Arabidopsis thaliana: one gene and its partner. The protein of the gene in region 1 interacts with the protein of each later gene in a pairwise test. Each region holds a gene or a part of one and is shown on either strand. Other genes may lie near its edges.

Region 1 (4,367 bases):
CTTTCTTCCTTGTCGGTTGTACTGTATGGGTTCTCGAATATAAGCGTAATCCGGACTTTAGTGGACCGCCTAGATTCCAAGCTAGTACCATCTGTTGGTTTGCCTTCTCTACCATGGTTTTTGCTCCAAGTACATTTAATCTCCCCTCTCTACATGTCAGCATATATATGTTCCTATATATCATGCACCTTGCTTGATTCTTATTCTCGATTCCCTGTCTGCAGGAGAAAGAGTATTTAGCTTTTGGGCGAGGGCCCTGGTTATCGCATGGTACTTTCTCGTTCTCGTGTTAACCCAGAGTTACACAGCGAGTTTGGCATCGCTTTTGACATCACAGAAATTAAATCCAACAATAACCAGCATGAGTAGTTTGCTTGAAAAAGGAGAAACAGTGGGTTATCAGCGAACATCCTTCATCCTTGGAAAGCTTAAAGAAAGAGGTTTCCCGCAATCTAGCCTTGTGCCCTTTGATACTGCAGAAGAATGTGATGAGCTTCTAAGTAAAGGACCAAAAAAAGGTGGTGTCTCTGGAGCTTTCTTGGAAATACCTTACTTGAGACTCTTTCTTGGACAGTTTTGCAACACATACAAAATGGTTGAAGAACCCTTCAATGTTGATGGATTCGGCTTTGTAAGTTCCTATATCAAAACTTATGTGAAAATTGCATTAAATGGTGAGAGATCATAAGTCCTTTTTCGCAGGTTTTTCCAATCGGATCACCTCTAGTGGCCGATGTTTCAAGGGCCATCTTAAAAGTAGCAGAGTCTCCAAAGGCAATGGAGCTCGAGCGTGCATGGTTCAAGAAGAAAGAACAAAGCTGTCCTGATCCAATTACTAATCCAGATCCAAATCCCTCTTTCACCTCTAGGCAGCTTGACATAGACAGTTTCTTGTTTCTGTTTGTTGGCGTGTTACTTGTGTGTGTTATGGCACTCGGAAATTTCACATATTGTTTCCTAGCGAAAGACCAGGTTTCGTACCTCGATAAGGTAGAGATGAGTCCGTGTTCATCAAGTCAACAAATGCCTGTCAAGAGGAAGACACAATTAAATATGTCTCAAGTTCATGACCAAGACAGTCTTTAATTTAACAAAAAAACATATGCTATTATTATACCAAACTATTGTACTTTTTTTTTCTTTTGAATGAAGAATTGTACTTTATTTTGTAAATAAGGATTTTCAGAAACAAATGACCCATTTAAGAGAGACTATCAAAGTTACAATAGAGGTAGATTTTATTACGTGTTATGCAAGACATTAAACCTAATGCTATAAATTCTTATGTGCTAACGACTAGTAGCATATTAACTTATCTGGAATTAGGGTTATACTTTTTCTTTTTTGGGTTATACTTATATGCAGTTAATATAATCTAAAGAAATTTTCACGTTTATGCTGAAAAAAAGATGTGGTCTCAGCGCAAAGTGAGATGTGGATTTCATAGTTTGACAATTAAGACATTTTAACATAGAAGTAGAAAATAGAAAGAATAAATATTAGAAACGAAAATAATTTGGATAATTGTAGTAATAGTGTTAGTTTAACCACTTTTTAATATACTTAAATGCATTCAAATGCAAATCTATTATTGTAGTAGGACAAAACCAAGTACAGGTGAATAACTGGATATATTGGTTTATTAAGATACAATTGTGTTTGTCCTGCTCTGCTTTATATCCGTAACTCCTCTGTTCTTCCATTCAGACCCAATACATATTGGTTTTCACTGGAAAAGGAGACAATAGATGGAACTGTTCACAAACAAAAGAAAAGATGGATATTTTGGTGCGTTGCGCTTTGTACTTTGTAGTGATTAGTTTGGATTTTTTCTTTTTTTGCTTTGTGGGGAATAAAGAGATAGCCTAGATGCACGTGATACGTATTCCTACAGTGCTACTGAATACTGATGTACAAATAGTTCCCTCTCGTGATTTTTGTTTGTGGTTTCAAGAGAAATGTTGCTTACATTGAAGATTGAACACACTATTATTTTAAGCCTTTTTTGCGTGTACTTAAAATATTCTTTTACATTGTTAAAAATACAAAACGTTTTTCAGTTTTACAATAAACTCACTTTTTGAAAAATATAAACGTAAATGCAAACAAAGAATCGAATTCTTATTCTTTTTGACAAAAACGAATCCACAACGTAACTAACTAATTTACTGTCAAAACCATATGATATTTTGATAGCAAACATGAATGTTTTCACTTCCTAAGATTTAATTTCTTGTAAACTATTTTTACATTATTATGGTACCTACGTGTTGAATTAAGCATATTTAGTTTCAGATCTTTTTCTTCTTCTTTTTTTCTTTCTTTTGGTTAAAGACCAATGTCTTCTCAAGATTTATTTTTCTCGTTCATTGATATTTGCTAAGTTTATTTGATGAATATTTTCCATAACCAATCAGAGTCTTTATGTTCAATCCCAACACTATTCTCAGTCAAAACTTGTTTTTTTCGAAAACAATATATAGTCTTTGGAAAAAGCTGATAAAGGTCTTTTTTAACATTGCTTTATAGAAAAAGCTGAGAAAGTTTCTTTGACGTTTTGTATAGAAAGCTGAGAAAGGTTATTTTTTTACATTACAGAAGTAAGGGATACAAAGTTGTTAGTTCATCTTCTCTCCGCTCAGAAGAAGAAAAACTTAAAAAAATTCAACGTCTGAATATGGCTAATCCACTTCTCTATTCTCCGATCAACCCACAATTCTTCCAACCACTTCTTCCCGGTTTCACCAACCACCTGGTACTCTGTTTCTCTATACTCTCTCCGACCAGTTAAGTTACTTCTGTTTGTAACTCATCTAGCATGCTGTTTCAGGACATTCCTGTGGCGTTCTTCTTGAAGTACTTAGTGGGAACTAACGTAGGAAAAACGGCTGAGCTCAGATCAGATGCATCGGAGATGACATGGAAAGTGAAGATAGACGGCCGGAGACTCTCTAATGGTTGGGAAGATTTCACAATCGCACATGATCTCCGAGTTGGTGACATTGTTGTTTTCAGACAAGAAGGAGAGTTAGTGTTCCATGTCACAGCTTTAGGACCAAGTTGCTGTGAGATTCAATACGGAGAAGATACCCTTGAAGAGGATAAAATTGGTAACCTTAGTTTCATATTAAATATCATTAGCACATTTAGAATGAGTCTAAGAATATTACTTAATCTATCAACAGAGAAACTTTGTGGTACGGAGAATGTTTCAAGTAAGAAAAAGAGTCTAAAGAGAGAAGCTGAGTCTGCACCAGACAATTCACTAGATTCTTGTTTTGTGGCCACTGTCACGGGTTCGAATCTAAAGCGCGATACATTGGTATGTTACTTCCATATTACTCATTACAGTAATTTTTATGTTATTGTATATTCTTGATAACTCTATCTAACTTGGCTTGTGGCGGCATTTGCAGTATATTCCGAAAGAGTTTGCATTGTCAAATGGTCTGATGAACAAATATCAGATTGTGTTAATGAATGAAGAAGGAGAATCATGGAAGATAGACTTGAGACGCGAGGCATATAATTACGGCCGGTTTTACATGAGAAGAGGCTGGAGAAGTTTCTGTATTGCTAATGGGAAGAAACCTGGAGACGTTTTTGCATTCAAATTGGTCAAAAATGAAGAAACACCTATGATACAGTTGTTCCCTATGACCATTGAAGATTTAGACAAACTTCGTAAGTTAATTTTCATAATCCGTTGGTTATTGAGAAAAATCTCAATCAGATTCTATAATTGATACAGAGAGTCTTCCAAGACACAAGATTCGAAAAACAGAAGCAGCTCCTTCTTCACCGGACCTTTCTTCTTTTGTAGCCACTGTCACGGCTTCAAATCTAAGCCGAGATAGACTGGTTATGATACTCCTGACTTACATATATTGATTTTGATTTGACTGAGAGGTGTTTTAATGATATTCATGGTGACTGTACTTGACTGCAGTATCTTCCGAAGACGTTCATTATGTCAAATGGTTTGTTGAAGAAATTTCAGATGTGTCTAATGAATGAAGAGGGAGAATCATGGACGATAGATGTGAAACATGAGGCACATACAGGCCGGTTTTTAACGATAAGAGGTTGGAGAAGATTCTGTGTGGCTAATGGGAAGAAACCAGGAGACTTGCTCAAATTCAAATTAGTCCATAACGAAGAAACACCTGTGCTCCAGTTGTTACCCTTGAACAGTGAAGATCTACACAAACTTAGTAAGTTGTTTATGCTTTATTCTTTCAAGAAACAAAAATATTGAAATAAAATTGAATAACAAGAAGCACTTTCTTCCTCTGCAGATCCTAGCAATGACACAAGGCATGGACAGAGTTTAAAAGTTACCAAAAAAGAGTTTCTTGGCATGGAAG
Region 2 (4,367 bases), on another chromosome or scaffold:
ATCTAAAGGCTTTTCAAAGACAATCCTCATATAGAAAAAAACCCTAAATGAGAAACAATTGCCTTCAAAAAAAACCACCTGAGATTTACAATTTCGATCACACCTCTCTATCTTCTCCACAACATCAAAACCATTATGTCAACAAAACTTTCTTTAGTAACACCAACACACAAAACTGCATCTGCTTCTATCTTTAGGGTTTTTGCTTCCCTTGAGATTAACTGCCTCTGCTATACTTTAATAACTTAAGACAAAACCGAGTAACAACGAGCTTTTTACGTTGCTCCTATAGCTAATAATAACACCTAGCTGCAAAACTTATGGGCACGCGATATTAAGAGGAGTGGGAGTAGTTGTTGCGATATGATCAACGAAAGCATACTTGTCAATGGTGGTTCCAATGAGACCAAGATCGATCTCCACATCTGAGAAATCATAGTCTGGAAGTTCGCTTGGACCGTCACATTCAAGACCAATGATGTCCAGATCATCTATGCCACAGTAATCATCCAACATTTGGTTGTTGTTCTCTTCTGTTAAGAGAAAATCAAGCTCACAAGCATTTGGGATGAATGAGTCATCAATGAAGCAACCCATTTCAGGAATCTGTAGATCTGCAAAGTCGAAATCAAAACTCGCTTTCTTCGATTCACCAGCTTGTTGATCAAGAGTCGAATCAACTAGCTTCTTGTCAAGATCAATGCTTGACCCTGAGGCTGAGATCATAGAACCAGACTCATTTGACAAAACAGAGGAAGCAGCAGAAGTGGCTGCAGCCAGAGCATCAAACTCAAGCTTCTTGGTAGCATAAGCATCAGCTGCTTGTTCAAGCGTCTCGTAAGTACCCAACCAAGTTCTTACTTTGGTGATTGGATGTCTAATCTCAGCAGCCCATTTACCCCATTTCCTCTGCCTAACACCAACAGGCTTCGAGACAGTAGTAGAAGAACGTCCAACGACCGGAGATGCTTTGCTGCGTAAAACCTTTTTGCTACAAGCTGAGATTTTAGTCTTGCTTACACCATTATTGTTACTCTCCTGACAATATGAGCTTTCAGATTCTGCTTGAGTAGCAGCTTGAGCGAAAGGAAGATCGATCTCACAGACATAACGTTTCCTTCTCTGACTCCTTTCTTCTTCTTCGCTTGATGAGTAGTCAGTAGCGTAAGGATCATTCACAACGAAACGGAGTTTTCTCATAGTCTTCAAATCTTCAGATAAACCTGGGAGGTGATTTAGCTGAAAAGGTTTCTTCTTCATGGGTTTTTTGTTGGGTTTATTGGTTTGAATAGAAGAGCGTTTCTTTCGTTCAGCCATTTTATCGAACACTTGGTGTGCGAAATTCAAAACCAAACCCCCTTAAACCCTAAAAAACCTCTCAAAATTCCCAGAAAAGCCTCAAAATGAACTCTCTCAAGAACAAGAAAAGTCCTTTACCCCAGAACAAGTCCTGTTTCAATAACCAGCAAAAACACAACAACCCACTTCAGATTCGAACAGAGAAACTATAAAAACCATTCAAAGTAACAAACTTTAGCAAACCCAGTTACCTTTTAGGTCTTAAACGCATGGAAATCGATGAAACTGTGAGAAATCAATCACTGAGAGAGCTAGTAGATGTAGCTTGATGAACGAGAAAAACAGAGCAGAAAGCGATTAAGAAGACGAAGAAGGAAGAAGAAGAGAGAGAAGCGTAGAGTCAAAGACAGAGCTCCGGTTAAACAAATTATTCCGGCGACTTCAAAGATCCTTTTCTCTCTCACACTCCTCTCAGCTCTTCGAGCTTCCCAAAAGTGAAAAAGAAAAGTGAGAAGATAAAAGATTCAAAAAGAGGAAGAAGAAGAAGAAGAAGAAGATAAAGTAAAGAATCAAAACGAATCGAAAACAGATGACAAATCTATGGCCAAGATTTTTCTGCCTCTCTATTACCAAAGACAAAACTTTTAATTTATGTCGGAAAAATAAAAGAAAGTTATGTAACTGGTAAATTTAAGAGACCGAGGAATTTAAAAAGATGTTAAAAATCTTTTAAGAAACGATTGTTCAAACACAGATCTCAATAAAAATTTATTAAAGCATTAAAAGAAAGAAAAAAAACGAAGATGGGAAATTAAATTCGTTTTTTATTAGCATTTGGTTTTTTTTTTTTGGACAGTTTTATTTCATTTTTTCGGTTAAGATTGGTGAAAATAGTTTTACAATAGGGATAAGGAAAATGTTTTTTAAATTATCACTTTATCATTTTCGTTGGTTTAAAGTATGAATTTTGGATCTTGTGAATTAAATTCTTAATTTGATGTTGATTTTCAATTTAATTACAAATTCTCGTTGACTAAGCCAATTGAGACACAATTTTTTTTCCCGGTATCGTCAATCGACCTAAAGATGAAAGATTACTTTGAATTCGAATAAGAAGAGAAATTCCAAAGAAGATAAGAGATTCTGAAGAAAAATAGAGAAAAACTCAAAAATTTTAATTAGAAAATTTTTTAACGATGTGTCTTAATTGGCTTAGTTAACGAGAATTCGTGATTAAATTAAACGTCAACATAAAATTGAGGATTTAAATCACCAAATCGAGAGTTTATGTTTTAAACCAACGAAAATGGTAAAGTGATGATTTAAATGACATTTTTCCCTTTTACAATATGGTAATAAAACATACTATTTTTGGAATTATATTATGGATATATGGTAAATAAATTTAGTTTGTGAAAGGAATAATACTTTGTATCGAACAAGTTATTATTGTATTGTAATACATTATTCATGAAATTTACTTCTCACTGTTACTGCACTGTGGGTCTTTTAGCTAAGTGAAGTAATAGAATTTTATTTTATTAATAGTATTAAACTACAATAACATATATATTCGTTTTTTAATTAAAAATAAATAAAAGAGAGTGACTAGTAACTACTCCTTCATTGTTTAGTGAATTATTCATATTATTTGATGTGATGTATACTTGTATTCTATAGTAATTTAACTCATTCTCCCAAATTGACTCTTAAACAAAAACATCAATTATAGATTCTGATAATTTTTTCGGCATTCAACAAAAATATCTTACAAAAGATCGACGAGTATAATTCAATACCATTAATTAACATAACAATTTGTGAGGTTAATTAATTACATTAGAGGTAGTTTACTTTGCAGTATCTTGATTGTGCTAAAGAAGAACAATTTCGAACGTGGAGGATTGTTCCATCCCCACATTTGCTAGTTGCTACCAACCGAGGGACTTTTCATCATAATTTACAAGTCTTCTTCCCATCTTTAGTGGGTATAAATAAATACAATTTTTTTTTTTTTTTTTTTTGTGCACCAAATAAATACAATGTTAATGAGAATAATTCACAACTCAAAACGTTTTTGAATAACTCTGTTTTATTTTTTCCACACTCAAGCATTTCATGAAGTCAATGGTCTCTTTTTGGGTCAACTAAGTCAGTGCTTAAGTTAAGTTACTCTGTAATATTCCGTAACATAACATGATCATGATCACTCTAATAACTTGCAAAATCATTTAAGTTCGGTCCGATTTGAACCGATCAATTTAAACTTGTATTTTAGAGGTTAAGCTCATCCATTATTTGATATCTTACACCATGAACGAACATTTGGTTAACCTAAAGAACACAAAATAAAATAAAAATTTCTAACATTTTTTGCTCGATTCTATTTGGTTTCGGTCCTAATAGTTTTGAAACAACTTAAAACAGGTCGCTTCCAGATTAATCCAAAAAGTTAACATCTCTAGATTAAAATTTATATATCAACTTCAAATTTTATGATTTTTTTGTAAGGTTCATTACGATTCGATCGATTAAAAATTTAAAACATTTTTTACTAAAGAAATACCAAAAAAATATTGAAAGTGTCATTTTCTTTCAATTCCATAAAACGAAAGGAACTCCTAATTTCCAAAATTTTGTTTATTCCACAGCTTTTTTAACATATCGCTCGCATTGCCACATTGGTCCAGACCTACTCCCCTTTTTATTTACAAGATTGCCACTTTAAAGAGTTGGATAATTAATTTAGTTTAAACTAAACATTTTTCTGCAACAATATAGTAGGAAAACAAAAAGCTAGAAGAAAAAAGAAAACAGTGAACGCACGCCTGAATGCATGTGATTGCCTACCCTACGTGAAGAAAAGACGATGCAATTACAGAAGTAAGAAAAACATTTTCTCCACCAATATACAATGACCCTTACTAATTATTACTATTTCAACAAAACGTTTCCTACGTAAGGAAGGCAACAGATTCATTTGATGTCATTTTTCAACGACAATAGACAAAAAAAAAGTAAAGCAATAATAAAGTAAAGTTGTACACTACATATATACTTTTTAAAAA

Evidence for each region. The genes of interacting proteins can lie anywhere in the genome.
Region 2: the proteins of AT2G24700 (region 1) and CRF11 interact in a two-hybrid assay, tested with the Arabidopsis thaliana proteins (one large-scale study listed by BioGRID).

Annotation. Positions count from the first base shown.
Region 1 is NC_003071.7:10,513,599-10,517,965, reverse strand, and holds the start of AT2G24700 (Transcriptional factor B3 family protein), read left to right. Parts: upstream 1-2,554; 5' UTR 2,555-2,677; coding exon 2,678-2,755; intron 2,756-2,830; coding exon 2,831-3,110; intron 3,111-3,185; coding exon 3,186-3,322; intron 3,323-3,416; coding exon 3,417-3,684; intron 3,685-3,751; coding exon 3,752-3,861; intron 3,862-3,949; coding exon 3,950-4,214; intron 4,215-4,298; coding exon 4,299-4,367. Other genes in the region: GLR2.3 (glutamate receptor 2.3), read left to right, coding at 1-129, 225-631, 703-1,086.
Region 2 is NC_003074.8:9,473,002-9,477,368, reverse strand, and holds the start of CRF11 (Integrase-type DNA-binding superfamily protein), read right to left. Parts: upstream 1,958-4,367; 5' UTR 1,551-1,957; exon of another isoform or gene 1,451-1,550; 5' UTR 1,318-1,450; coding exon 319-1,317; 3' UTR 1-318.